4 linked regions of the Lytechinus pictus genome follow. The main gene of each other region encodes a partner of the protein of the gene in region 4 in a complex. Links are inferred from orthologs where the notes say so. Each region holds a gene or a part of one and is shown on either strand. Other genes may lie near its edges.

The links.
Region 1: centrosomal protein of 290 kDa-like (region 4) and jouberin-like share a complex: the UniProt entries of both Homo sapiens proteins name them as parts of the tectonic-like complex. The link is inferred for Lytechinus pictus from reciprocal best matches to the Homo sapiens genes CEP290 and AHI1.
Region 2: centrosomal protein of 290 kDa-like (region 4) and coiled-coil and C2 domain-containing protein 2A-like share a complex: the UniProt entries of both Homo sapiens proteins name them as parts of the tectonic-like complex. The link is inferred for Lytechinus pictus from reciprocal best matches to the Homo sapiens genes CEP290 and CC2D2A.
Region 3: centrosomal protein of 290 kDa-like (region 4) and B9 domain-containing protein 2-like share a complex: the UniProt entries of both Homo sapiens proteins name them as parts of the tectonic-like complex. The link is inferred for Lytechinus pictus from reciprocal best matches to the Homo sapiens genes CEP290 and B9D2.

Annotation. Positions count from the first base shown.
Region 1 is NW_026974140.1:16,630,507-16,638,506, reverse strand, and holds the start of jouberin-like, read right to left. Parts: upstream 3,015-8,000; 5' UTR 2,948-3,014; intron 1,454-2,947; 5' UTR 1,383-1,453; coding exon 1,366-1,382; intron 720-1,365; coding exon 659-719; intron 1-658. UniProt on the Homo sapiens protein: Involved in vesicle trafficking and required for ciliogenesis, formation of primary non-motile cilium, and recruitment of RAB8A to the basal body of primary cilium.
Region 2 is NC_087261.1:31,142,029-31,150,020, reverse strand, and holds the start of coiled-coil and C2 domain-containing protein 2A-like, read right to left. Parts: upstream 3,021-7,992; 5' UTR 2,599-3,020; intron 1-2,598. UniProt on the Homo sapiens protein: Component of the tectonic-like complex, a complex localized at the transition zone of primary cilia and acting as a barrier that prevents diffusion of transmembrane proteins between the cilia and plasma membranes.
Region 3 is NC_087251.1:29,709,281-29,716,980, forward strand, and holds the start of B9 domain-containing protein 2-like, read right to left. Parts: upstream 3,014-7,700; 5' UTR 2,744-3,013; intron 447-2,743; 5' UTR 439-446; coding exon 351-438; intron 1-350. Other genes in the region: uncharacterized protein K02A2.6-like, read left to right, coding at 4,789-7,700. UniProt on the Homo sapiens protein: Component of the tectonic-like complex, a complex localized at the transition zone of primary cilia and acting as a barrier that prevents diffusion of transmembrane proteins between the cilia and plasma membranes.
Region 4 is NC_087263.1:11,081,168-11,088,877, reverse strand, and holds the start of centrosomal protein of 290 kDa-like, read left to right. Parts: upstream 1-4,695; 5' UTR 4,696-4,843; intron 4,844-7,710. UniProt on the Homo sapiens protein: Involved in early and late steps in cilia formation. Its association with CCP110 is required for inhibition of primary cilia formation by CCP110.

The sequences.
Region 1 (8,000 bases), on a different chromosome or scaffold from region 4:
ATCCTAAATCTAAATAATAATGATAATAACAACAACACTAATAATAATAACACTTTTATCAGAATAGTGTATCTACAAACTTTATTGATAATAATGATATATTATTATCATCCCTGTCATTTGATACTGACTAACCCTAACATGATGTACATGTATGTACTTTTTCCACTCACTAATTAGCATTCTAACAAGAGTTTTAAACTCAATTGCTAGGTATTCTACATTGGATATCCCCTCTTACTAGGTAACCACTTAGCACCTGGGAAGAGAGTGTGGATTGATGCCTTGCCAAAGATCAGTATAAAGCCGCAGTGAAATTCGAACACACACTTCTCTGATGTTAAAACAAGAGTCAGAACCACTACAACATGATCCTCCATATCAGTTACTGGTACTCTAAAATCTATCAGAAAAACAACTTTCTAAAATGTATAATCTGAAGCTTATTGAAAATCAGTTGTGGATGTAAAATTTGTAATATTTGTATTTCTGATTTTCAACAAATGAAGTGTGATATTTTTTTTTTAATTGAATATAAAAAGTTAATTTTTTGTTATGTATTATATATCATGACATGAATGCATATAAAAAAAAATTACCAAGTGCAATGTTAATCCTGCCAAAGGTAACAATACAAATATTTCAAATATGAACTTACCATAGCATCTGCTGTTTGTGATCTAGCCTTCTTCTTCTTCTTTGAAGTTTTTCCAGAACCACTAAGGAAATTAAAAAATAGGATAATATTCTCATAAAAAGTTTATTTATGATGTACTTATAATCTCAACACTATTTGATTGTCTAATGTAACTATAACTAAATAAGAATTGAATTTAACACAAACTACTTTTGAGAAGTTGAAATTTTGAACTCAGAAATGTATATAAGCCAGAGTTCTGTCAATGGCATAAATACCATACATACTAATGTATTCTAGACATAAAGTAAGACAATAAGGATTAAGAACTTGACAGAGCTATCTGTTTGATATGAGCAAAAAAACATACAAGAATGTTTCTTAACTTTCAATATTCAAAATTGTTTTCAATTAGAAAATTGCAGTATCAATTTATATCATTGGCAGCTCAACTAAATAGAGTACCGTAATAAAATAATAGCAATGATAATGACAATCATAATAATGATAATAAAAATGATATTATCATTTTCATTGATAACAATAATGTAATCAATATATCACAGTAAAAATTATAATGCGCAATTCAATAATATATTCTGTTAACCTGCAGAGTGTAATAAATATTATTTCAATTTTTATAATAAGAGAGGTTTAGCTTCAAAAGAAACACTGAGAAATAGCCACATTATCATCTGTATTTTATTTTGATAATAAAATAGAAATACCTAGCATCCTGGTCCATTGCTGACTTCAGAAGCTCATCAAATTTAGCCCGTGTCTGGTTATGAATTTCATGATGTTCTGAGTGAGGAGCTTAAACAAACAAACGTGAAAAATTAGTCCAGGTATCATAACATATTGCTACATTTTTAGAACCTGAACAGAACCTACTGCAAATGAAACTGCTGTTCTGTATCATTATACATGTATGTCGGCTTGAGCAATCAATCAAAAATTGATTGAACATTTTGAATCAACTGCTATCTAATTACTTTTTTAGTCTGTCCAATCATAAGAGCCATGTGGAACAGGCATAACAACTAGGTAGATATAAGACCCTAATAATTATACAGTATGGCGACAAAGAAGAAATGTGGGAACATCAAGAACATAAATAACAACACATGTACATTATACATCTCGCTGAATCCTAGATTTAATCATCCTTAAAGGAGAATGAAACCTTTGGAACAAGATAGCTTGTGTTAAAACAGAAAAATCAAAGAAACGGATCAACAAAAGTTTGAGAAAAATCAGACAAATAATGAGAAAGTTATGAGCATTTGAATATTGCGATCACTAATGCTATGGAGATCCAACAAAGATGTGTGATGTCACTTGTGAACAACTCTCCCCATTACTTTAGTATATATTTCACTTAAACTGCCTCTTTTATCACATCTATCAGTGGATCATATGTTCTTTCTATAGGAGGGCATGTAATACAGATTTTTTAAAGAATACTTCATGGATAAAGAGTTTCTATCATCATAAGAAAAAGCAAAAAGAGACATTTTGGGGTATTTTATAGTCCATCAAAGGGAAAGTTGTTCACATGTGACATCACACATCCTTGTCGCATTGCCAATCGAGGATCTCCATAGCATTAGTGATTGCAATATTCAAATGCTCATAACTTTCTCATTATTTGTCTGATTTTTCTCAAACTTTTGTTGTTCTTATTCTTTGATTTTTCTGTTTCGACACAAGCCTACTTGTTCCAAAGGTTTCATTCCCCTTTAAGTTTTTAACACCTCCTAATTGGAAATTGTACTGTTTGCACTTGGCAGAACATTTAAACAAAAATGGTGATTGGTTACAATTATTACAATGATTGTGAAGAAGATGAGGATAATGATTATGATAACTATAATGATTATAATCAAATCATGGTGATGATGATTATAGTGATGATTATGATTATGGTGATGATTATGGTGATGATGATTATGAAGATTATGATTATGGTGTTGATGATGATGATGATGATGATGATGGTGAAGACAATTCTTATGAACATGATGATGGTGATGATTACAATTATGGTGATGATTATGATTATGGTGATGATCATAATTATGATCATGATGATTGTAATGATGAGGAGGGGAGGAGGAAGATAAGGAAGATGATGATAGTGAGAAAGGAGTCATCTTCTCTTCTTCTCTACAAGTACAGTGTCTCAAATGAGGGGTCTAAGTGTCTCAAATGAGTTATGTACTGTACTCATTGTCCTGTATATTGCGATATCCAGGATGACAATGACAATGGTCCCTGCTTGATTTGAAGTGCAAGTCTGATACTTACACAGCGCTCTGTCCTCATCTTGGCTGTTGCCATCATGTGGCAGTTTGCGTCCCTTTTTCTTGACCTTTCCTGTGAACAAAGCAAATTACAAATGTAGCATTTAAACCGGCAAGACTTCCATATGTCCCCTCCACTAAAAAGGTTTATCAGGAATTATCTAACATGTATCTAAGAGATTTAAGAAGGAAAAGTTGGATACATACCAAAATATGGCTTTATTCTGTCAAAATTTCGAGTGTGTGTAATTCAAAATGGCATTGGTTTAGTCTATTTAGTCAGAAAAATAAATACCCAATACTCTTGGAGAGAAGACTAGTCGTAATATCGGTTGATAACCCATGGCTTTCAACAATTCATACTAGCTCAGTGAGTAAGGCGACATACGGTAGTGGAGATTCAACTGAAATCACCAACACACTCTAAACATGTACAGTACACATTCACATTCAAAATCTTGAATAAAAAGTGAAATTTTCTTCCCTAAATCACCATATCTCGCATCAAAAATATCACCATCGGTATTTCTTAACATCGTAATTAAGAAACAAAGGGTCTAAAAAAGTGGATTTTTCACGGTTTTCCCGATGATCGTGGATTTTGAAAACATGTCCACGGTAAAGACTAGCACTTTCGCGAGCCGATGTCGGCCGCCATTTTTTTCCAGAAGTCAATGCTGAGATCGAAAAATAGTAAAAAACATGAAAAATACGACAACAACACCTCAAAATATAGCGCCCCAAGAGAGGCCGTTGCGTGTACGCTCGCTATTTTCACATGCGTTTGCAATGGAACTGCACACTCAGCAGCGTTCGCTCGCAGTTTAAAGGTGAATTGCAGCTGCCTCACGGTGCCTCACGGAGCTTGCGGGAGCGCCATAGGAATCGTACATCGGACCGCGCACCGGAGACAGGGTGGCCGCACACAGAAGAATGCTATCGCAGTCAGAAGTGGTGGTCAATCTTGACCACCGCGATTGCTATCGGCCAATTTTCACGATAAAAAAAATAAGTACCATCAGTCCTTTTTATATGATATGTATGGATTAAACTAGTTTGTGCAAAATAGGTACAGGATGGGAAAAACCCTTAAGCGGGCGCACATCAGGGACTGTCTTTTTAAATTAGTGGAGGGGTCATAAGGAAGTCTTTTCTTTAAACCTCTGCAACATTCTGCTTGACAAGCATGATAAAGGAAATTGACGATAGGATCCCCCTTCAAAATTCTCCAAAAGTATAGAGGCAATGATCATCAAAAAAGAAAAAAAAAAGGAAAAGCCAAAAAAAAGGAAAAGAAAAAAAAAAGGAAAAAAGAAAGAAAGCTTAAAAACAGACAAAACAAAAATAAATAGGTCCAGTAGAATAAACAATGAAAAGAAGATGACAGTAGATCTAAGTAAGTTAAAGTTACTTAAGAAACCATCAAAAAAAGGAAAAGGAAAAGAATCTGAAGTTCTTTCAACAAAAAAGCTCAAATAAGTCAAAAAAGCAGTGGCAAAAATAGTCATTCTTGACTGGTTGCCAGCCAGCCAAACCAAACAAAGAAGAAGCATTGGCTTTACCCTCTTATGATTATGAACAGCCTCTAACGTTAGTTTAAGTTAGATCTAGAATTCTAAGTTAGATCTAAGTTAGTCTTTTTTTTCTAGTTCGGACTCGGAGTTGTCTTTATGGTAGGGGGCCCTAAAGCTATGCGGGTCCCACTCATGGGATCAATGCATCTCGCGTGCGAAGGATTCATATGCACATGGTGCACGCGAATTTTTCACACCCTTTTTACTAAAATAACTATGCCATTCCTTTTAAAATAATGTTTCTAATTGTGCTATGACACTTACCGAACCATATGGATCGTTTCTTGACTTCTCTTTGGTGTGTTTTTAAGAAAAAAAAAGCATTTTCTCGTGATCTTCACGTAGATACCGCAGGGTCATCGTGGTTGTAAACTTTTGCTTAAAGAGGGCGCGCGATATTATTCACAAGATGTTTGTTTACGGTTCTGCAGCTTGTACTGCTAGCTGCATTTTAGACGCTCGGCATTATTTTCCTCTTTCTGTTTTTTTTTTGCTGTCAAGCGGTATTTTCTATTGTAGCGCCATCAGCGATGATGAAATGTAAAGAGTCGCCTTGAAATGAAGAAAAATTATGTCACATTAATTCGTTAGTTTGTTTCCTATTTTTTTGCACTTTTTTCTTCTTCCTCATCTATGATCAAAGGTGAATACCTTTTTTTGATATCTGTTCTAAAAGCTGGACATTTTAAATATTTTGTTCAAGTAAATAAATCAACAGGATAGTAATCAAAATGCGATAGAGCTGCCCGAGCTGAAAATTCTGATACAAGGACTTGAAAATAAAACATTCTGAGCACTTTTTATAACCATGATGAGGAGACCTATATATATATATATATATCAGGGTTGTAATAAAAAACATTTTTTATCAAAAAAAACAAATAAAACGTTTTTTATTGTTTTAAAACATTTTATTTCCAACGAATGATGCAATTTTCTGTAAATCAATTAAACTATACACTATTACAGTATGTTTTAAATAAGAGATGACCACAATTTTGTTAATGAATTTCCAACAGAAAAGTTCATATTTCCCCCCAAATCACTAAATCATGGAAATTGAATGCCTACAACAACAAAAAACACTTTATAAGTAAATTGACATTTCATTCCTAATACATGTACATATACATGTAGTTCCAAGGTATATTGAGTCTTGTCAATGGGGGGGGGGGGGGGGCAAGAAGAATTTGCACAATGGAAGAAATTGATATACATGGGGTTTCAAAGCTTAATTTCATTACCGGTAAATCAATATGCTTTATTTCATTTGAATCAATTATACCAATTTTAGTGCATGAAATTCAAATTCAGTTCAAATCTATAAATAAAAACCTTGAACTACTTTTTTTTTTTTAATTCAGGAATGCTGATCAAATGTATATTAAAAAAAAATCAGTATAGAATGTTTTTTTTAGCCCTAATAAGATTGGAGGGGGGCTGATTCAGCACCCCTCCAGTCTGATTCAGCCCCCTTCGTCACTCAGACTTTTCTTTTTCAAGTCTCACGCAACTTTTGAGACCAAAATTGCGACCTATGCGGTTCCGAAATTATGCAACATTCTGTAAGTGCATGCAGACCCAAAATTGCTCAAAAACGTGAATTCGTGTACAAATCCAATGCAAATAGTGTTTTTAACCAAAATTCATAAATGTCTCATTATTTTTCCTTTACTGACTAAAATCAATTAATTTCACCTTGTTTATGGTCAAAATATAGTCCCTGACTATTTCCATTGAAAAAACAATAAAATACATAAAAAATAAATGTGATTTTGAAATTTTTTAAAGAACATTTGATCAGATTCCTACAAAGAATGAACCAAAAATGAGCATTTCAGGGGCATTATTTATAGAGCAAACTTGATTTTACGCATAAATTAGCAATGAGACTTATGCAAAATTTGATTTATAGTTTTTTAGATTATGCCATGGGTAACGCCGTGCCAATTTTTGTTGTGATCCCGTGATCGACGGCTCAGATCATAAGGGTGGGGGGGGGGCACCCTCAGTCTTCTTAGGAAACGAAATAGCCCAGTCTATTTAGGTTACCGGTAATGTTTTCTAAAACTTTTTTATATTTCTTATGTACAGATTTTTAAACCTTTTTTTTATTACTTATAGAAATTTTTGGCAATAATTTTCCAATCATTAACAATAAAGTAAAAATAATGATACAGATACAAATTTTGGCAAGAACTCACAATTTTGGCAAGAACTCACATTGGGTTTATACATGAAATCACATTTTTGAGCAATTCGGGATCTGATTATGCACTTGTGGTGTATATCATAACTGCATACCCAAGCATGCATCCCCAAAATAGTCTTGAACGATATGCCGTGGCCCTGTCATGTTTATGGATTTATCATATACATTTTTAGGGGGACATTATAAAGGTCCCCTTGAATTGTTAGGGTTAAGGTTTGCTAGCTGATTATCTTATACTGTTTAAAGAAAGTACTTTTCTTCATCTTTATGAAGCACAAAGTTTTATACCTGCTTTTGTGTGTACCTCAAGAGTATGATGTCAGGTTTACAGTCTATTTGTAAAATATTATTGTGCTTGTGCAACACTTCCATTTCATTCAAGTACTTTTATTACATGTACATGTATTTGAGCTCATGTTTCCTTCCCTGTCCAAAAAGTGAGCACAACACTCAGATATGTTTGTTAAAATGAGAATATTCTTAATATGGATTGATGTGCACAATTGAACAGGGAGAAGAGGAACATAACAAAGCAATGGAGAAAGAAAGAATAAAGGGAGAAAGAGAAAGAAGAGAAAAGGAGTGGCATTGAAAAAGAGTTTTATTTAGTTAGAAGAAAATAATACACCACTTAAGAAATAACAGTATAAAAAAAAAAACATTCATCTAAAAACACATCCATGCAAATTTATAACACACAAGTCTATGCGGTGTTTTAAAACAGGTTTTTTTTTGTAAAAAAAACTGGTGTTTTAAAACGCGTTTTAAAACATGTTTTAAAACACACCGTTTAAAACGCGCCAACCCTGATATATATATATATAGTGTGAAAGAAATGGATGAAGAGAACAATGGTAGGCGTAGCTTAAATCAAGGTTCCCCAGAGCTATCTACCCTTTTTGGAAAAATTGGTGATGCCGAAAAAATGTCTCTGCCGGGAATCGAACCCGGGCCCCCAGCTTTGAACGCCGGTGCCTTAACCACTAGACCACAGAGACGGGTTAGTGGATCGGGGTCGCCCTAGCCACTAACCCGTCTCTGTGGTCTAGTGGTTAAGGCACCGGCGTTCAAAGCTGGGGGCCCGGGTTCGATTCCCGGCAGAGACATTTTTTCGGCATCACCAATTTTTCCAAAAAGGGTAGATAGCTCTGGGGAACCTTGATTTAAGCTACGCCTACCATTGTTCTCTTCATCCATTTCTTTCACACAATATTTAAATATAAAAGAGTTGCCAAAGCTGTAGTACATGTATAACTTCACACATTTGTATA
Region 2 (7,992 bases), on a different chromosome or scaffold from region 4:
AGTACAGGCCAACATTGCCCTCGATGCCAACGATGCGATCATATCTGTAGTTGCCTATGTAAACCAACATTGCCCGCCATGGCAACGATGTGTTGGTGTCTGTAGTACATGCCAACAGTGCCCGCGATGCCAACGATGCGATCATATCTGTAGTTTCCTATGTAGACCAACATTGCCCGCGATGCCAACGATGTGTTGGTGTCTGTACTGTAGAGTACAGGCTAACATTGCCCTCGATGCCAACGATGTGAATGTATCCTTAGTAGGTATAGGCCAACAGCGCCCGCGATGCCAACGATGTGTTGGTGCCTGTAGTAGATGCCAACAGTGCCAACGATGCCAACAATGTAAATGTATCTTTAGTACGTATAGGCCAACAGCGCCGGCCAGGATGCCAACGATGTGTTGGTGTCTGTAGTATAGGCCAACCTTGCCCGCGATGCCAACGATGTGAATGTATCTTTTGTATGTATAGGCCAACAGCGCCCGCGATGCCAACGATGTGTTGGTGCCTGTAGTAGATGCCAACAGTGCCAACGATGCCAACAATGTAAATGTATCTTTAGTACGTATAGGCCAACAGCGCCGGCCAGGATGCCAACGATGTGTTGGTGTCTGTAGTACAGGCCAACCTTGCCATCGATGCCAACGATGTGAATGTATCTTTAGTAAGTATAGGCCAACTTTGCCGGCGATGCCAACGATGTGAACGTATGTTTAGTATGTATATACCAACAGCGCCCGCGATGCCAACGATGTGTTGGTGCCTGTAGTAGATGCCAACAGTGCCAACGATGTGAATGTATCTTACATAGGCCAACATTGCCGGCGATGCCAACGATGTGAATATGCCTGTAGTAGAGGCCAACATTGCCGGCGATGCCAACGATGTGAATGTATCTTTAGTAAGTATAGGCCAACTTTGCCGGCGATGCCAACGATGTGAATGTATGTTTAGTATGTATATACCAACAGCGCCCGCGATGCCAACGATGTGTTGGTGCCTGTAGTAGATGCCAACAGTGCCAACGATGTGAATGTATCTTACATAGGCCAACATTGCCGGCGATGCCAACGATGTGAATATGCCTGTTGTAGAGGCCAACATTGCCGGCGATGCCAACGATGTGAATATAACCCTAACCCTAACCCTAACCCTAACCCTAACCCTAACCCTAACCCTAACCCTAAACCCTAACCCTAACCCTAACCCTAACCCTAAACCCTAACCCTAACCCTAAACCCTAACCCTAACCCTAACCCTAACCCTAACCCTAACCCTAACCCTAACCCTAACCCTAACCCTAACCCTAAACCCTAACCCTAACCCTAACCCTAACCCTAATTGAATTCAATTCCCATTGAATTCAATTCCCATTGAATTCCTTCAATGGGAATTAAAACTTTATTTCATATTTTAATGAAGAAAAAATGAAAATATTTCATGTATAAAAAATACAAAAGAAATAGAGAGTGAATGACATCGATCACCTCACTAACCAGGATATGCATATATTAAACTGTTTTGTGAAACCATACCTTGAAACGCTTGCCAACGATGTTTTGAATGTTGCATTGCACGGTCACATCGTTGGTCGTTGGCTAGCGGCGCACCCAACGATGTATAGCAATAGCTAGTAGTAGTAGGTAATTTAAAAGAGTGTATTAATCTTGTACTATTGCACCTTCACATCGTGGGTCGTTGGTTAGCCAACGATGTTTTGAATATTATATTGCACCGTCCGTACCGTCACAACGTGGGTCGTTGGCTAGCAGCGCACCCAACGATGTTTAATTATAGCTCTAGTAGTAGTCAAAGGGCAAAGGTCATTACGTATGGCCTGGATGCATTGCTCGTACGTACCGTCATACGTACGTACGTACGTAGTATAGTAGTAGTAGTAGTACCAGTAATGCATGTACGTATATAATAGTATGGGTATATCTAGGCTATATACCATTGAATTAGTATATAGCTATAGGTCTTGACATCGTTGTGTTGGCTGACCAACGATTGGGTAGTGAGCAGTGTCGGGGTATTCTGCAGTTAAGCCAAATTAGATTACATTATAAGATTAAGATGACTAAATTTAGTATATTGAAGATTTAGGCATGTTTCATATTCTCACATTCGTGTGATGAATGAAAACGTCAAAATTCATTAGGCCTAGGCCTATGATAATATGAAATGACATGCGTTGTGCGAGGTCGAGGTTAGTATTACTAACCTCGCATGTTGTGTGAGTGTTCTGTAAGTCCTCGTATTAATTTTTCGTAAATTAACGTTATTTGTTGAATGCGCCATGCCTTCAATTATTCTGTAGTCGGCGGCTGCCGGCTGAGATGTAGCCGTGGGTGGGAAGTTGGAGCCTCCTGGCTAGCTTCACCATCACATCACAGAAATATATAGGTGGGACAACGTAGGAAATTTGTTTACGTCGTCGCGATCGCCGGCGCCAAGTCTAACCTTAACGTTCAAGTTTTTTAGCGTAAAATGTAAACTCATGCCATGGTTTTGTGGATGATTTCGATTTTTTAGCAGAACTTAATCTCCTACTCAAAAACTAGCCATCTACTGATTCGTAAATAATGACATACCATCGCCTTCGATCTTGATTCAACCACGATCTGAATCTCTGTTGATTCTCGAAATTCCTCCGTTGCGCCGCACTTCTCTCTCATCTCCCCCTCTAGCTCTAGCTCTCGTTCAGTTCCTCCGATCCGCTGTTCGGATATATATATCGGCAGGTATCCTCTTCTTCTTCTGTATCCTTCCTCCGCTGTATCGGAGATCCGCAGTTTAATACTGCATCATTAGCATTTCATATTTCATATTTTGACGTGAGAGAGGTGAATCTTATGAAAGAATTTAAAACAAGTCGGTTTAGGTCGTTTTTGGAGGAATCTGTTAATTCGACGTCAGGTAGAAACAGGACGGAAATGGTAAATTGTTGAGGTTCTTGATCATTAAATGCTCAGAAAAATATTGCAGTTCCTTGTCTTCTTTTAAGTTTAGAAGTGTTTTCCTGTCTGTGCTAAATGCAGTGGCGTAACAGGCGGGGGGCAGGGGGGCAAGCTGCCCCCCCCCCCCTCCTGGCAGATTTCACCCGGAAAATAAAAAAACGGGGAAAAGGAAGAGGGAGGGAGAAACAAAGGGAAAGGGGAAGGAGGAAAAGGAAAGGGAAATGGAAAAGTGAAAAGAAAACGAAGCGATTTTTTTTTTAATGGAAAAGGAATTAGGAAAGCGGGAAAGGAACGAAAGAAGAACATCCCTGAAATAGGCATATAAAAGTAATGCAATAGCATGATGGGAAATAAATTAAAAGATGACAAAATGGCAAACAATAGCGGGAAGTGAAGGTAGAATGGAATAAGTCAAAAGCTAAATTGGAAAACAAAGAAAAGGGCCGGACAAGAAAAATATTAATAACACGACCTGGCTGCCGAGGATTGAAAGTAAAGAGCGGGAAGAAAGAGTGAATTGCATACAAAATTGTGCTATCTTGCTTATTTTTTTGCAAATAAGCTACCGGGGGCTTTAATTGCCCCCGGAGACCCCACGCAGTAGGGGTTCTTCATCTGTAACTTTCAAATGGCTCTATAACGCCCCCCCCCCCCCGGCCCTGTAGGGACCCTTCATACATTATACTTTACTAAGCTTCAATCACTGGCGTACAGGCGCGGGGGGGTGTCTTGGTTCCACACCCAAAAGGAAATAAAAGAAATTATAGGAGACAACTATAATGAAATGAATGGAAACAATGAAAGTTGTTATTTGCTGAATATAATGGAAAATCTATCACAGAATTTAATTTCATTGGGCATTTTTTTTCCAGCTCGCTTTGCTAGCTGGCGACTTTTTACCAATTTCCCCACATTGCTATGTTTTGCCCCCTCAAAATATTTGGTTCAACTGGGTTGAATAAATGTGTTGTGTAAAAGCTATATTCTGTATATACCCGCGATTTGATCTAAAATAGCGGCAATCTGCGAAGTTTAAATGGCTGTGATATCAAGAAGTTCCGGGGGCTCTGCCCTGGACCCCAACCGCATAGCACTGCCGTATATGAATATGGAAGGGTTAATTGGGCCATGGTCCCCAAAACTTCTACAACCAAGAAAAAAAAAAGGAGGATAGAAAAGCAAAAGAGAAAAGGAAAAGTGTATGACATATAGGAACCATTTAAACAAACTGCTAGTTCTTCAGAAGAAAGTTATGAGGCTCATAACATATTCGAATTACAGATGTCCAAGTATTCCTCTATTTCTGCAATTGAAGATTTTGCCTCCTGGTGATTTTGTCTCCTTCAATTGTTTGATATTTATGTACAAATCACTATCCTCTCAAAGCTGTTCATTTTTTAAAAATGCATTTGTTGTTAATTCAAATGTACATTTGTACAATACACGGCAGAAAAATCTTATCCACCAACCACTTACAAGAACAAATACTGCTTTGAATTCTTTTGTGATAGTTTGTACAAAAGAATGGAATAAGTTACCACAAAACTTTCGATCCAGTCCAACACTGCCCATATTTGAAAATTCATGTCGAAAATATTTATTTGAAAGATTACAAAATATCTTAAATTGATTCTTGATAAACCATGTGTGTGTGTGTGTTTTGTATGTATTTTTCTTATTTACTCTACATTATCATTGTAAATATTTTTTTCATCTCATTACTGTTGTAATGTACTTTACAAGGGGCCCCTCTCACAAGCTCTGCTTCTTTGGGGTCCCAAACCTATCATATATTCTAATTTTTGTTAAACTGTGTAATATGTCTCTTGTTTTGATTGGTTTGAATAAACTTAAACTTGAACTTGAACTTGTAGGATATGATTTTATTTACTGAATATAATGTCAAAAAATATCTCCAAGTTAGATTATCGCTTCGCTCGCTCGGGGCTTATATTAAGCAGCTTTTTAGCACATGCGCCATATACTGCGCCCATGCATCGTTTTTTTACTTTATCACGTTCGCTACTGCTGCAAATAATCCTGTTCACAGTGGCGTACAGACCACAAAAACAAATGAATGGAAGATTTTATGTCAAAATCTTTTGCATTAAAAAAATTTTGCATTAAAAATGTCAAATTTTGCTCGCTCGCAACTTTTTTTAAAAGATAAATTCTGTCCGATACGCAATATCTGGCCCTCTCAAAATCGCCGCCTTATTACACCATTCCGCCTGTTCATACCATGATATGACCGGGAAATTTTTGGCTCTTGCCCCCCCCCCCCCCCCCCCCCCCCCTGGCCACCAACCCCTGTTACGCCGCTGGCTAAATGCTGGGCATCCTCCAACAAAATGTATAACAAAAACGGAGTGGCAGAACTTGCAGGACTTTGTGGTACTTTGATCATTCTCATAGGCGGATCCAGGGGGCCGAGGGGCCCGGCCCCCCCCCCCCCTATTGGCGGAGTAAAAAAAGGGGAAAAGGGAAAGAAAAAAAAAGGGGGGAAAGAGATAAGAAAAAAGAAGAGGAGGAAGACGAGGGAATAAAATAAGATGAGGGGAAGACTTGGAAAATAAAAAGATCTCTTTCATGTCACTATAGCTATATAAAATTTTCGCTCGCGCTTCGCATTGCCTGTTAGGTGATTTTCATATTTTGTTCAATATGGAGTTTGAATATCAAGTTTGGAAGTCAATTTACAAAACATATTCTACCTCGGAAATCGAACTTTCATTATTTTGTGTGAATATTGATGTTTAAAAAGTGCTCTGTAAAAATGTCAGGTTTTTTATCTGAATATTAACATTTCTGCTCGCGCTGCGCGCGCGCAAATTTTGATTTATCAGGTACCTATGATTTTCGTGTATTCCATAAAGTTTTAAAAATACCCTTTTCAGGTCTGATTGTCAAAACGTATCAGCTAGCACTGCACGCTCGCATTTTGATTGGCGAGTTATGTATGTCTCAATATTGATTATACAACAAACTACTTAAAATCCTCTTTTCATGACACTCAAAGTAATAATAATGAAAAATCTCAGCTCTTTATTAAGTGCGATCAATAAAAAATTAGTTCATGCACTGATGTCTTCACGACTTGATTTCGAGAATGCCTTGCTTTACAATTTGAATTTACCCAACACCCAGTTGTCCAAACTCCAAAATCTTCAAAACGCTGCAGCACGCATAGTCACCCTTTCCCAAAAAACATGTTCATACTTTTTATAGGTTTCGATGGGGATAGACTTTAATTTTTAGGATTTCTCTTCATTTAATCTTTATGCGTCCTTTATCTTAGGAAATTAATGAAAATAGAAGCTGATTTAATATTCCGCTAAAGCGCCCCTTTTACAGAAAGGGGCGTTATTAAAAGGACATTTTAAACAGACTAATAGAGTCAAAGGAAAGTGATGGGGCTACTTTGACAAGCTCTGTAAAATAGTATAGGGTATATAGGCTTCAATGTACAAGGACGTCTTTTAATGCAATCTTTAGAACAATGTATCTTCTGTCTTTTTTTTTCAAAAGATCAGTGGAAATGATAATGATAATTTCAAATAAAAATTATATCACTCTGATATTGAAAAAGGGGTGGGGAGTACCTTCTAGCGGCTCCAAATAGGGTTAGGCTTTGATTCCCATAACGTCATTGCATGTAACATGCATAGCAATGTTTTATTTTCTCCATGCATAACAAGAAATAAATTGACAGAATATAATGTTACATTAATAATAATAATAATAATAGTACAAAGTAGGAACTAAGCATAAACAAGAATGTTTGCAGTGCAGGTTCCTTAACTTACATCGTTTGTAAGTAACGCGTTTGACTAAAACATGGCTTAAAAAAATAAGCATTCACAGAAACCAGAACAAAAAATATATCAATATTAAAACTACATTAATGCCCTTTTCTGTCTTTCTCTAATATTTCCAAGAGCAGAAGAGGTTTCGTAAATATAAAAGTTGTTTTGCTAACTGTGGCATCGCAGCGTTTAGGAAACTCTAAAATTTTCTTTTAATGTGGGCCCAACGTTTGTAAGTTATAATCCCCATGAATATGCTAGGAGAATAAATTTAGTTGATACAACTTGAACTTTATAATTATACTAATTGTAATTAGCATAATATGAAAAGTTGTATAGTTCTACCCAACAAACTGTTCTATCTGTATTTGCTTTTCTCTTCATGTCATAATGAACGTTAATTTTAGTTGTGCCACAATTTTAATTGGGAATCAGGTATAAACTGGGAAAATGAACCATTTTATGTTCGAATTTGAATAATATATGATAATTCATGCATAATCTATACATAATTTATGCAAATTAGATGACAATATGGATGGATAAACAGCTCGTTGGTAAATGTTTTCTTTTCCTCCATGCTCCATAAAAAGTTGGTACTGAGTAAAACGCCCAATTTTGGTGATTGAATATAGTGTCTGGGCATTCTAAATATATTTTTTATCATGAAAATCAAAATGTGATCGCGAAGCGCGAGCTGAAAATATTTGATATTCCTATTTGAAAAAGCGTTAATTTAAGCACCAATTCAAGCACTATGTAGGAAAGTTGTGAAGTGGATATTATGGATCGCTCTTAATAAATGATTTGAACGCGAAGCGCAAGCTGATATTTTAATTATTTTTATTTTGATCTAGGATCTGGACATTCTAAGGACATTTTGTCATCATATGAAAATGATGACTTTCTTCTATTCCTCTTCCTAAGCGAGAGATATTCCATCTGAAAAAAAAGGACAATTTAAATATTAGGAATTCATGAAAATGTTAATGTTAATCTAATAAGCCTAATGACAGCTCGACATTTGTTGACATTAATTCCTGAAAAATGGATATAGCACTTTTGTAATTATGAATAGGATGCATGGGTTACTATCTTTAACAAATTAATGAGAGCGCAATTTGCGATGTCATGAAAAGGGGATTTTAAGTAGTTTGTTTTAGAATTGCTTATTATAGAGGAAATTATTGAGGTATATATACATTACTCACCAATCAAAATG
Region 3 (7,700 bases), on a different chromosome or scaffold from region 4:
TTTTGAGTTTTGATTATGGAGTGATCTGAAACACACTTTTCCCTATTTTTGTCCTACCAACCAACCCTCCTTACATATTAATGAACAGATGGTGATAACATAACAATAACAGTTTATAATAATTCAAAGGAAAAAAAATCAGCAATTGTAAGAGAAACATCTCCACAGATTGGCAAGTTTCTCAATTAGGTTAAGGTAAAACAAAAACACACAAGAGGCACAAAGCATGCATCAAAGAGACCTCTAGGTAGCCAAGAGCAACCAATGAAACAAACAAATTCAAGCAAGCCATAGCATAGGCCTACATGTAGGACATAAACAAACTTCAGATTAACTACTTGCATGCTTACCAGTGTGTATTTTCCATTTGCAATAAAGATTTTGATTTGAGAACCCACTTGCTCCAAGGATCTGCCCTATAACATGAACTTCTGCCATCTCTCTACCTGACAAAAAGAGCATTTAAAGTGAACAAACTTGTCAATAAAAGCAGAAATTAAACCTGGATATAAAGAAATATAATTGGTGGAAATATTACAACAGAAATTAAAGTTCTATACATATATTTGGATCTACCAATTTCTATATCCTGCAGAAAATAAAAGTCTAAAAACAAAAAAGAAGAGAAAAGAAAAAGGAAAATAAACATTTTAAAAAAGCAAAATAAAAGTAAACAAAAAGAAAACAGGAGAGAAAAAAATTGAAAAGAAAGTTAAAGAAACAAAAGAAAAAAAGAAAAGGAGAAGAAAAAAAAGATAAGGAAAAAATATGTAAATGTAAAATAATAATAAAAAGAGACAAGAATTAAGAAAGATGAAGGAGAAAAAAAGAAACGAATATAACTAAAAAAAATATGAAAGAAGCTAATGATTTTTTTTTTTAAAGCTAAACAGCAATGACAAAATTAATCATTTCTGATTGGTTGCCAGCCAAACCAAACAAAGAAGTTGATTTTTTTAGAAATGATTTGATTGATGATTCATCTCACATAAATTTATAATGCACACAAGCACAACCTCACAAAGATACATGGTCACACAATAATAAATTTCTTAAGGCTTAGACCTTAGACTCTAAATTATTTAATTAATTACATTAATTATATATACAAAAAAAATTGTTTTTCACTTTTACAAATGAGACAATTTTATTTTTTAATTCTACTTAGTAATTAGACTCACATCTTTTCAGAATTTATTGCTGAAAGACTTAAAGGTCAAGTACACTTCAGAAAAATGTTGATTTGAATAAATTGGGAAAATCAGACAAGCATAATGCTGAAAATTTCATCAAAATCGGATGTAAAATAATAAAGTTATGACATTTTAAAGTTTTGCTTATTTTCACAAAATAGTTATTATATGCACAATTTAGTCACATGCAAATGAGAGAATCGATGATGTCCCTCACTCACTATTTCTTTTGTTTTTGTTTGAGTTATACAATATTTCAATTTTTACAGATTTGACAATAGGCCTATGGACCAACTTGACTGAACCATAAAATGTTAAACAATGGTAATTCCACAAGTTCAGGGCGAAATAGAAATTTGTTTCACAGTACATTGGCGAGAAAAATCAGAATATTTCATATTTCATATAATAAAATACAAAATAGTGAGTGAGTGATGTCATCAGTTCCCTCATTTGCATACCTACTGGGATGTGCATATATAACTATTTTGTGAAATTAAGCGAAACTTTAAAATGTCATAACTTTCTTCTTTTACATCTAAATTTTTATGAAGTTTTCAGTGTTGTGCTTGTTGGATTTTTCTCTTCTTATTCTAATCAACTTTTCTTTGGGGTGGACTTGTCCTTTAAGTTATTAGTTAATCTGACTAACTTGGAAGTTTAAAAAAATATTGTGTTTGAATTGAGAATCTAAGAACTTTGTACAAAACAATAACAAAAGTTGGATAGAAAACACACAAATACAGTCATGTAATAATTTCACTCGTTTTCAAACCGTAGATCTAGTGAATCTATATTCTTGACCAGGCATACATGTAACTGTAAGTACTTCCTTACGCTGAATGAGGTATTAATTTAATTTAAGCTCAGGAGTGGACTGTGCAAAACGAGGGAGACACAGGACTGGGGTAGATTGGGGTCTCAATTATCTTGATAAAAATAAAATGTGGAAACAGAAATTATGCACTTACCACGATTATAATGGATGAAGAAGGTCTATCGTGACACACAAATCCTGACATCAACACATAGACTGGAACCTCAAAAAAACAAAATATAGCCTCGGTCTCTATCGGCCATTTTGTTTTGAATTTTTACAGAAGGAGAGGTATCGCGACACTCCGACAGAACTTTTCGTTTTTTTGAGGTTCCAGTCGATCTGTGCCTCGATGTCAGGATTTGTGTGTCACAATAGACCTTCATTTCATCCATTATAATCGTGGCAAGTGCATAATTTCTGTTTCCACATTTTATCAAGATTACTATTGAGACCCCAATCTACCCCAGTGTCTCCCTCGTTTTGCACGGTCGACTCCTGGTCTCCGGGAGCTCCTGGGCCGGGTTAGTAATGAACCCGGGAGTGCGGGGAAACTAGACGAGATATTCACACAGCACATATTATAATATGTGGGACTGAATTAGATTTGGCGTACCTAGCAACAAGAATTATACGGACTAAGATTTCGATAAGGTTAATTTCTTTATATTCCGAGAATTTCTTACAAATGAAAATACAAATACAGCACATTTACATCAATATGTTAACTTACGAAAGCAATTCGTTAATCGTTAGACCTCTCCTTTTGTCTAAGACTAGTTTTAACAGTTTCGCCGCTTAGTTCACAAAAATGCATGATTAATGAACGTAGATGGCAGCAATACTGGAAGTGCAGTGGCACTGCCACGGAAATAAATTTTTCGTGTGCACTGCTCTCTCTGGAAACAGATCAATGTCACGGCTATAATTAAGACATTTTCAGCTCTTCCATGCACTTATTACTTGCCATAAATTCATGTTATGTTATGTTATTGTGATGTATGAACTGAAGACTAATGACGCAATCTTCATGAGCAGCCTTGTACGCATGCGCGACAGAGAGCAAGATGGCGTAACATTAAATGGCAGACACTACTCTACATCGCTGTGCTATTATCTCATTATTATGTATCCCTTTAAGAACCACAACACGAGAACATAACAATTTGGCGACGAGGATGCAGGGATAAAAATGAGAGTATAGATTGGACTTGATTTCCAGTAAGTGACATGCATTGCGGATAGCTTTTGGAAATTAGCCGCGGATATTGTCATTGATACACTGCACTGCAGAGCATAGTGTGATCGGTCAATCGCAGCCTAGCCGTAATTTGGATGACGGATGAATGTGGCTTGTTGAAATGAACGCTTTGCAGAAGCCTCACACCGCTCATGCCAGCCTATGTTGAGACCGAGTTATGTAGTGTCTACAGCCCATAGCATAGGCATAACATTGACAATTGTTGTAAATTATTGCCTAGCCCTAGATGTTACTGGTAGTTGACATTGGACTATTGACATAGCAAATTGGAGCCAACTTCAAGCCCGAAGTCTCCAAAGCAGCCCAGCCCAGCAGCAAGCAACAGAGCCCAAGGACCAAGCCGATCGAGGACCCAGCCGAGACCTCTTTTGCCAGGTTCAGCCCAGACGGTGTTGCATTCATTAGTCAAGTCCAGCCAAGCAAGTTTTGAGTCTGCAAGCCAGGACAAAGTTGTCGTGCCAAGAAGACTCAATACAAATTCAAGCCAAGCTGCATAATTAATGAATGAAACAGAAACAAAACATCAAAGACTTTAAAGACTTTTTGATGGACTTATTATGAATAATAATAAACACAGCATTTATTTATTATGTACCGTGACTTAATCAAAGACTAAAGGTAAGATTAAGACAAATTAGTCCAGGTCCAAAAATACATTATATGGTTGTAATTGCAACGTGTTGGACTAAAGAATTGGTCGAAACATAGATCTGGTCTAATGTAACAAAGTACCGTACATGCCCTGGTGAGTTGTTACACTGTCACTGGTCCAATTAATTAGGTAGTATTTAGATTTAGGTCATTAAAATAGCAATTATAGATCTAGGTCTAGAACCATCAGGACCAAGCCCAAGACTGAATTGAGATCTGATGTTTATACAGTAAATAACGATAAACTTAAGCCGAGTTTATGCCGTAGTCATATAGCAAATTGGTCCAGTCAACTGGTCTAAGACTATGCAAGTAGGATCAGGCCTATGAAATTTAGGACCAACAAGAAGTTCCAGGTCTAAAAAGCAGGACCAGGTATAATCTTATAAGCAGGTCTAAAGTAGGACCGGGTCTCTGAGTTATAGGACCAAACAAGGTCCAGGTCTAAAAAAAAAACAGGACTAGGTCTAATCAGTTGTAGGACTATAACTTAGGCCCAAAGTGTTGATCGATTATAGTCTAAGACTTAGCAATTAGGACCAGGACCCAGTGCCTATATTTGCTATGCAATTGAATAACTGCAGCCCCACGACATGGGAGTAGTCCCACATATACCAGTTGTGTGTAGTGATATAGTATTGTCAATCGTTGGACTATATATGTCGTTCTAGCTTTGTTTCAGGTATACAATAATGCTTTGTATAGGCATTATGTACTAAGAAAATAAGCTTTGCTTACGCGCAATTGCAAGATCAAAATCATATTTTATGATCAATAAGTCTTGATATACTTAGTGTTACAGCTACCTATTGTGTAGTCACAATCAAGTTAACAGCTGAATTTTGTACAACATATGAATCAAAATTATGGCAAGCCAACATATAGGTAGTGTGCCCAAACTGAGTGATGGGTACAATTTTGACGAATGGCTTGAACTCCTAGAAGCATGGTTTGATGCTAACAATATACAGGAAGATGGGAAAAGAAGGGCAATATTTCTGACCAATCTTGGTAGCAAGAGCTATCACATTCTCAGAGCTCTCTTGCAGCCGAGTAAACCAATAGATCAAACATACACAGTATGCAAAACTACGCTTACGTCACACTTCGTACCAAAGCCTACCGAAATTGTTCAGCGCTATAGGTTTTACACTTGTGTGCAAAAGCAAGATGAGTCCATACCGCAATTTGTAGCAAATTTGCGCCAATTAAGCGAAGGCTGTAATTTCAAAGAATTAGATAACATGATTAGGGACCGCTTAGTAGTGGGTTGCCGGGATATCGCAATTCAACGCAAGCTGTTAAGTGAGTCGTCCCTAACCTTACAACATGCACTTCAGACCGCCACAGCTATGGAGGTAGCAGACAGAGATGTTGAAAAGCTCAAAGTATTAAGTAAAGGGACCGAGTCACCTACAGTTCAGAAGATGCAGGACAGAAGCCAGCATAAACCATTTGTGTCCTCATCGCGTAAAAATACACATCAAAGACAGAAGCAGGACATGCAGGAAAAGCCTCAAAAGCCAAGCCAAAAGAAACAGGAAAAACCTGCCTCAAGATGTTGGAGATGTGGTTCAGGTGATCATGGCCAGTCAGCATGTAGATTTAAGGATGAGAAATGCTATCAGTGTTCTCAAGTGGGTCACACCCGCAGCCAGTGTGAGAAGATCAAGCAATACAGATCTAGAAAGAAATATGCAAACCACTTGAATGGTGAGGAAGGTGCAGAACTGATAGAAAACATGCCTAGTGGAGAACTCAGACACCTTAGGGGTGGAATGGTAAACAAGATGGCAAAGTACAGTGAACCGTTCCAGACTAGCCTAAGCCTAAATGGGATCCAAGTTAACTTAGAAATAGACACAGGAAGCCCCTGGACGATGATGTCGCAGCAGGATTTTCATAAACTGGGACATCGAGCTGATGTGAAGCAAGCAAATGTTTCCTTGAAAACATACACAGAGTCATCAGTACCAATCATTGGTGAGGCAATGGTAGAAGTCAAGTTTGATGCCAGCCAACCACCAAAGAAGTTGACACTTCTTGTAGTTGAGAAAGGTGTTGCGTTACTGGGCCGAGACTGGATGCAAGCCGCACCAGAAGGAATCTACAGATTCCTACAGAATCGCCTCAACCTTCAAACACATGTTTCCAACAATCCAGAAACCATGCATAAGATACAAGCTACCTTACAAGACATGTTAGTGAAGCACAAGCAAGTGTTTGACTGTTCAAAAGTTGGTAAACTTGAAGGCTACCAGGCAAAGGTGCATCCTCAAGATGATGGAGATAAAGCCAGGTTCTACAAAGCTGCACCAGTCCCATATGCAATGCGCCAGAAAATTGACGAAGCCATCGATGAGCTACAGGACCAAGGCGTGATTGAGCCGGTGAAGTTTGCTGATTACGCATGTCCTATCGTAGTGGTGAAGAAACCAAATGGTAAAGTCCGCATATGTGGCAACTATAAGTTGACAGCAAATAAAGTTCTAAGGGTGGAACGGTACCCAATTCCGTCGCTCCAGGATATGCTCCAGGACTTAGGTGGAGGTCAACAGTTCAGCAAGCTTGACCTTTCACATGCATACCACCAGATAGAACTTGATGAACAAGCAAGGAAGTACACCACAGTAAATACACACAGAGGACTTTTTCAGTACACTAGGTTACCCTTTGGTATAGCCACAGCCCCTGCGCTCTTCCAAAGAGCAATGGAGTCACTCTTAGCTGACATACCAATGTGTCGCCCGTATCTAGATGATATTATAGTTAGCGGGAAGACAGATGAAGAACACATTGCCAACTTGCAAGCTGTACTGCATTGCCTAGAGAGTAATGGACTTCGACTGAAAAGGGAAAAGTGTGAGTTCATGATGGACTCGGTGGAGTTCCTTGGCCACAAGCTGGATCAACATGGAGTTAGCCCACTCCCGGACAAGATAGAAGCCATAAAGAAGACTCCAAGACCACAGAACCAGAGTCAACTACAGGCATACCTAGGACTTCTGGGCTACTATCGGAAGTTTATACCAAATTTGACCAAAGAGATCGCCCCACTAATAACACTGTTGAAGGCAGAGTATGCTTCAGTGCCAAAGAAGCAGGGAGACCGGAACAAAGCAGATCCAAACCTGAAGTGGGGAGGAGACCAAGAAAGAGCCTTCCAGAAGTCAAAGGAACTGGTTCAGAGTGACACAGTGTTGACACACTATGACCCCAGTAAGCCTTTGTTGTTGCAATGTGATGCAAGCCCCTATGGTCTAGGTGTAGTCCTCAGCCATGTAGGAACAGACGGTCTAGAGCAGCCCATTTCATTTGCATCACGCACGCTCACTAGAAGTGAAGCAAATTACGCCCAATATGAAAAAGAAGGACTCTCTGTCATTTTCGGTTTAAAGAAATTTCACAAGTACCTGTACGGAAGACGATTTACAATCGTCACAGACCACAAGCCGCTGTTAGGCATATTCGGTGACACCAAACCTGCAAGCCCCATGGCCTCTGCACGGTTAGCCAGGTGGCACATGATCCTCTCAGCCTACGACTATGACATCATATACAAGGAAGGTAAACAGCACCAGAATGCAGACGCCCTTTCACGCCTACCCTTGGCAGATGATCAAACAGTGTGGTCGCATCAGAGTCTTGCAGAGCTGGATGAGCAGCCGCCAGTTCAAATCAACATGCTGGATATTGACACAAGACCAGTTGAAGCCGATGAAGTCAGAAGAATCACCAAAAGGGATCCTGTTCTCGCAAGAGTAACAGCCTATGTGAT
Region 4 (7,710 bases):
AAGACAGGTACAGACAGAAATTCCTGCATTCAAAACAAAGGCAAAAAAGGATTATTTATTACAATAAGATAAATCATAGATTAAGCAAAAAAAGGACAGAAAAGAAAAGGAAAGATAAAAAAGAATCAAGAAAAAAGAGAAAAATAATAGAAGAGAAAAAAAAAGAAAAGGAAAAAAGAAGAAAAGAAAAGTAAAAAGAAAAAGGAGACAAAATACAGAAAAAAAGAAACAAAGAAAAGAAAAAAAAGACAAGATAAAAAGCAAAATAGCAGTAAAGAAAAAATAGAGGGGACAAAATGAAAAGAAAACAAAATAGTGAAAAAAAGAGAAAAAGAAAAGAATAGGAAAAGACGAAAGAAAAAAGAAAGTAATATAGAATAGAAAAACAATAATGAAGGAGAAAGAAGCTATTCATCCTTGCAAAGAAAAAAAAACTCAAAAAAGCAGTGGCAAAAGTCAAAACCGGGTAACAAAAAATAGTCATTGTTTTTACTTGATAGCCCAAAGTACCGGTACCGTACTAGAAGAAGAATCCGCCCACAGAGATACGATCTTACGTATAAGCTCCCGAAGGGAGCTAGAGAGGGAACTCTTTCCGCGCGTTTTTATTTCCCATAGGTTTTGTACATAGCCAACATGGCTGCCGGCGGACAATTTGAAGGATGATTTTGGAGGGTCAATGTTTTATTCATGAGAATGACGTCAAAATACGCATAATGCACTTGTATGATTGGATTAAACGCTAATGTTTTATTCATGTACTCATGCATTAAACATTTTTTTCCGTCCCACAATTCCCTACGATATCTGTGCGAAGTGTCGTTCTTTTGGACTCTGCAAATTTGAAGTTTCTGAAACGAAATAGCTAGACTAATTATCTGTTTATAGAATTGATGTTCGAAATCATGGTTTCTGAGTGAACTTCATTGGAGCGGAAAATCTTGGAGGGAACATCAATACTATTCTAATGACATTCCATAGGAATAAAAGTAAGTTACGCTCATTTTCATGTTTTGATCTCACTTGCAAATTGTAATGTGTTTGCCGGGGTTCGGGGCTCATCCTGTATTACGCACTATGTAAACCTCAATTTCAATATTTCTTTTGCCTGAGCTGACTTCCAAATAAGTGTGATCATTGAGTTTATCAAAAATACTACCGGTATATCTAGGACTAGGGGTCTATAGTTTGTCGTAGATCTAGACATTCATCGGAATGCTTCATGTAGGTCCAAAGTAAACCTTTATTTCAGTTTTATTGTGATTAGACAATTATCAGGGGTAGATGTGGACTTGTTTCCGACCTCCTGTTTTTTAGTAACGACAAACTGTCGATTTTAGGCCTATTCAAATTTAGGTCAATGTAGGGATATGGTCAGAGCGCGCGGGATCCGGCCTTTGATATCGCCGGTGCTAGCCGGCTAGCGAGATTGTCGATGTAGTCATGGGGTATGAAAATAGCGGGGACGGACTAGGCCCAAACTTCAAGCTTGAAAGTTGAAGTTTATATAGGCCTAGTCCGTCCCCTCTATTTCATCTTCATATGAAAAAGTATAATTCTCAGCAGTTTCTTTTATTCAGGAACGCTTTACTTCAGAATAATCAGTGTTGAAATACGATTGTCTTAGCATTAATGTCTGTTATGTTAAGTGTCACTTGTCTTAGTCTTAGATTTGAATGAAATGGCATAGCCTACCCTAGACCTAAATCAAGTCTATTTGAACAGGATACCCTGGGCCCGGCCTTGGGTGGTAATTTGAAAACGTTCTTAGTGTTTACTTCATTCAAATGTGATGTGATTCTTAAGTTATACAGGCCCAGCATAGACCAGATTCAGCTATATACAGCTGTAGAAATATGTGGTTGGAATCATTTTACTTTTATAAACAGAGTGAGGTAGGCCTATGTCTCTATGTGATAGAGAATGAAGTTTCGGGTCCAGATAAATTTTTTGTTCTAGTTTGGAATATTCATTCATAGACCTGGGATATGGGCAGCTGGAAATTTCAAAAATATTGTTTAAGAAGAGTAATTTTATTATCTCTAAAACTCTCAAATTTAAATTGTCAATTGCAGATCCAATGGGACCAAGTTCTTAGCAGTTCACACCTAGTCAGAAGTACAAAATTGGGAACCATGCCGATCAGCAAGTGTTAGTTACAATCTAATGAGGAACAGGATATCTGAATGGAAAAATTGCAAGGTATGCTTACTGTTTTGATAATATACAGGCTGTATCCAAGCTCATCACCCCCCCCCCCCAAAAAAAAAGATAAATAAATAAATAAATAAAAGAATATTTCCCCTTTTTTGGGAGGGGGTGGGCTATGGCCAATTGTGCTGAAACATGATGCGATATCATGTAATGTTAAAGTTCCATTGTAAGTTAATATTTGTTTGAATTCAGATTCACCAGTATTTCCATTTCTAACACTGCATACTAATTATCCATATCTCCTGTCTATACATGCATTTGCATAAAAAACCCAAGATATTATTACAGTTATCACAAAATTCTGATAAATATTTGAATTAATTTGCACTCTTTATTTTCAAAACATACTGTAGATAGTTATATTGATATATGAATTTATCTGGATGTGGGACGAAAGTGACTGCATGTGCTAAACTTGTTTTATCACTGAAGATATAAAATAGAGTTTACATCTTTTTTTTACTAAACTGGACTAGATGAGTAAAAATAATTTACAGCTTATTATGTTCTTTTCTCTTTTTTACCATGCAGGTTTCCCACTTCCTAAGCTGTTTAAGTACTGGTATCACAACATAAGTGCCAAGAAGAGATATGAAACGGTCTCAAAATTTTTGCTGGTGCCCCCCCGATGCCGTGACCCACGGTACGCCACTGCAAGTCTTCATAAATTATGTAGGGTTATTAAGTTGCATTTATCGTTATGTGAAATGGGCTACCACTGCAATAATATATAAATAGACTATATTTCAAAAATAGATTGAATTCTAACCACAGTGACAGTAGACAAATCAAATTTTGTTAATGATTCGCTAATGTATTGATTGGGGAAGGCACTCTTTAGGATTCTGGCATTGTGTCCCACCCCCCCCCCCCCTTATGAGGAGTGCTCTCACATCAGTAGACTATTTCTTGTCAGCAAATTTGAAAGGAATTTACCAATTTTTTTGAGTGACAAACTTTTGTGGAAGAAAATAAACGAATATCAAAGGTTTTTATGCTCTTTTATGGAATATTAACTATAGGCTCATCGAGATCCTTTGAATGAAATTTTAACAAACATTGTACAATGTAGAAAAATGTACTTAATCCTATTTTTGTACATTTATATACCCACCCCATACTACCCTTACCCAGTAACAGCCCTTTTTAGCTATGCATTGCCTTCATTTTTTAAAATACAATTTAATGCTTGGTAGATGCTAATTATTTTTTTTATGTTAATGTCAATGTTTTAGAAAATGCATTCCTTAATAAACATGTTAATTTTGAATTGAATTTTTTTATCTTGGTAATTTTCATTTATCAATTAATTGTGATGATGTATTGCTGCTGAGCTGTTATGCACAAATGGCACAAGATGTTGCACTGTACTGAAATGTGATGATGCCACTGTTACATGAGATCAAACAGCAGTCAATTAAAATATTATTCAAGAAAAATAAGGATAAGAGTGGGAAAGAAAGTAAAATGACAGGAGAATTATTTGCTTGTATGCATATAGTTATGTCAGTTTCTGAGAGAGAGACAAGACAGAAAGAGAGAGAGATGGGGGGGGGGGTGAAAGTTCAGTTTGTTTTGAAAGAAGCAATTATAAGACCTTACTGTTCATGACGGGCAACGGGGGGGGGGGGGGGCTATAATTATTTCTCCAAATTTTTGAAACATACATATAAAATGTATTTTTTCTTTCCATATGAAAATTACACCAGATACATTTTCAGTTGAAAATAAAAAAGAAATACCCTATAGCCTACGATTGGTTTGCTCTCTTGCCTATTTAATTTTGAGAACCCCCTCCCCCCTAAAATATGGTATATACCTAGGTCATGATTATTGATGTTTGACATAGAAGTCGCCATTTAAAATTAAGTGCTCCGAGGACTGCTATTCATAATAGGACTTATATTGGAGACTAAAATTATGGAAAAGAACTTGATTTGTTATTATCTTTGTTTATATTATGAAAAAAAGGTTCATTTCGTTTTCTGCAATAAAAAGAAAAAAGGGCTCCAGAAACATAAAGAGATGTCATCGCATATGGCAACATTTTCTTTGGGAACCTCCTCTGTAATATTTTTTAGCAAAGACCCTGGCCATTTGCAGCTAAAACAAAGCAACGATGCAGTAATAATCTAACAGGCAATAACAAAAAGATCATTAAAATAGATGAATAATAAAACTCTGAGGAGGAAAAAAACGAATGATCTGACATGATGTAATCACAGACACCAACGATATTAAATCAGGTCGCGCATTATGCTAATTAGTGACAAAATACTAATTTACATATTTTACGCTATGCGCGAAGGACGTTCCATGACCACGCCTTCATTTCGCTGGTGTACCAAGACAGTGGCGGTGTCCATAGGCTTGTATACGAAAAATGGGAGCAGTGTGCACTTTTGACCCTCCAAAATTTCCCCCAATTCTGACCGGATGCAGAAGCGGAGTTTCACCCCCCTGAATCCGCCTTTGCATGCTGCCATCTACGTTGCAAAATGCGTTGTGATGGACGCTTTACAAAAATGGATGAAAGAAGGCGCCAGTCTCGCTAGCTCAGTAGCTGTCTCAAGCTCGGCTGAGAAAACAAGAATACCTTTTTCGATTTGCTTGTAACTGGTAACAATCGGTAATTTCTCTTGACATGGTTTCAATTTCTCATGCCCTATTGTTTTGTTTGTGAAGACGCTAACGTTGTGCTTAGCGGCTGAAAATCTTAGTTAGGCTGCTCCACTTCGAAGCGAAAAGTGGCTGTGTGCGCTGGCGGCATTGACTGCACGCTACCCCGGAGCTTCCCGAGGTCAGCCGGCCAGCTTGCGTGTCTCTGCTCAGTCGGACGTCGGGAAGGCCAAACTCGTACTCCGTCTCCGAGTCCGACAAAGGCAAAGCTTGGCCGGCTAGGCTAGGGCTTAAAACGACAGGGAACGAGGACTGGCATTTGAAAGGATGCCCTTACTGTTTGAGCTCTAATAAGAAAGCAGGGCCGGGGCGGATCAGGTTTTCCCCAAAAAGGGGGAGGGCACATTTTTGAAAATTTGACAAGCAAAAAAAAAAAAAATTTCAGTTCACCTCAAATTTTAACAGTTAGGCCTCACGTACGTGCACGTTACACGCAGTCAATGGAAAGTATATGTGTCGCGCCATCTTGGTTAATTTCACCACTACGTTGCGAGAGGGCGCTCGTCAAATTTTACAAAAAAAATCGTAAGAGACAGGCTCGTAATTATAAGGTGACTTTAGGCCACAATAATTAATTTAGGGATGGTTCGGAAAATAAGTCGTGTCGATTTTCGAATTTAGGAATGTATAACGAATCAATACATATAAAATTCATCAATACTCATGATGTTTAATGTTTAACAAAGCCTTCTTCCCCGGCGTCGCACGTCCTCCCGAGTTACGGTGGTGCTCTTGCACATTTTGGGTATAGTTCAAATCATCAATAATATCTCGATTCTGCAACTTATTGTATCCTAATTTCATGATTTTTTGTATTATTTAGGTCATTTGCAACACTTTATTCATTCATCATTGACAATTACAAGTGTTAATTTCAAACTTTCCCGCTATTGAGTCTTGAATCTACCCTTGTCCACAGGCCCCTATAGTGTGTACTGTGTCATTATGTGTGTGTCTATGGAGCACCACATCCCAAATCTTACAAAATCGTGCTGATTCTGTGGCATTAAAATACCTCGTAAGACAAAGAGAGTTCCAGTTTTGAATTTTCCTGAAAATTTTACCAGAAAATTAAAGCTAAAAGAGCAATATTGTGATGAAAAGGATGTACACCCCCCCCTCCCCTTGCCCCACATGTGTAGCTGTGCCAATATACTCAATCACAAAGAAATGATATGATTGGTTTTATAGTTTTGCAGCAGGAAATAATAATAATGATAATAATAACAATTAAAATAAAATAATAATAGGAGTGGGCTATACATGGGTCAAAAATACTTTTTTTGTAATTTCAATATGACAACAGTTTTTTTTCATTCCTTGTAATGTATCTCAACATGAAATGACAATAATTTTTGTCTCGGGTCCGAGAAAAAAGTGTGCCGGGCCAAAATCCAAAATGGCCGCCAAAACCCCCCAAAATCACAGTTTTGGCCACAACTTTTTTACTTGGTGGTCAATTTCTCTCGTTTTGGTGTCTATTTATGTGTTTTTGGGGGCAGGCAATTTGTTTTTCATATAATTAGTACTTTTAAACCATTATTTGTAGAGTTAAAAGGTAATTATACCTAAATTTTCCCATTTTTGTAGCCTTTTTTCAGCCAAAAAGTAGGTTTTATCATCCTGGGGTTCTGGGATATTAGATGGTACGAGGTCAACAATAGCAAGCAGCTTCATATAGCTATATTGCTTTTATTCCTCCACTTTGGGTTTTATGGATATTTGTGAAATATATCTTATTAAATAAAAAAATGTCAATTATCCATTGGGGCTATACAGTATGTACAATGTACTGTACATACATACTGCACTGCATAAATGCATTGGCCACTATGACAGATAACAAGGCTTGTATAAACTATAGTGTCATAGAAATGAGCTCTCAGGTTTAGAATTAGATGCCTCAGAAATTGAAGATTTGTTTTGTCTCAGAAATTGAGGACATGTTTTGTCAAATATGCTAATTCAGGGGGCGGAGAGAGGTAATTTACACTGTAGCTATTCTGGGCCCCGTTGCATAAAATTTTACCATTATGTTAACTTAACTTAATGGTAACTTGCATGCAATCCTTTATTCTGATTGGCTGTTGATCAGCGTTACCGTGATACTAGTAGTTACCTGACCCCATAAACATAGTCCAGTTAGACACCAGAACCAGGTTAAAATAAAAGCCTCAAAATGAAGAAGATATGGATAAAAATGTGATGTACGTATATATACATTGTATGTGATATTTACATGTAAGTGTAATTTACGTTGCTAGCTGACAAGGAATCAAATTCACAATCTAATTCTAAACCTTTGAAGCTCATTTCTATGACACTATAGTTTATATACAGGCCTTGTCATATGCCATGGTGGTCAATGCATGGATATATACATTGTAGTATGTACAGTGCCGATTGTACACCGTATAGCCCCTATGGATAAATGAATTTTCTTTTATTTGATAAGATGTATTTCACAAATATCAGTAAAACCCAAAGTGGAGGAATAAAAGCAATATAGCTACATGAAGCTGCTTGCTATTGTTGACCTCGTACCATCCAATATCCCAGAACCCCAGGATGATAAAACCTACTTTTTGGCTGAAAAAAGGCTACAAAAATGGGAAAATTTAGGTAAAATTACCTTTTAACTCTACAAATAATGGTTTAAAAGTACTAATTATAGGAAAAACAAATTGCCTGCCCCCAAAAACATATGAATAGACACCAAAACCAGAGAAAATTACCACCAAATAAAAAAGTTGTGGCCAAAACTGTGATTTTGGGGGGCTTTGGCAGCCATTTTGGATTTTGGCCCGGCACACTTTT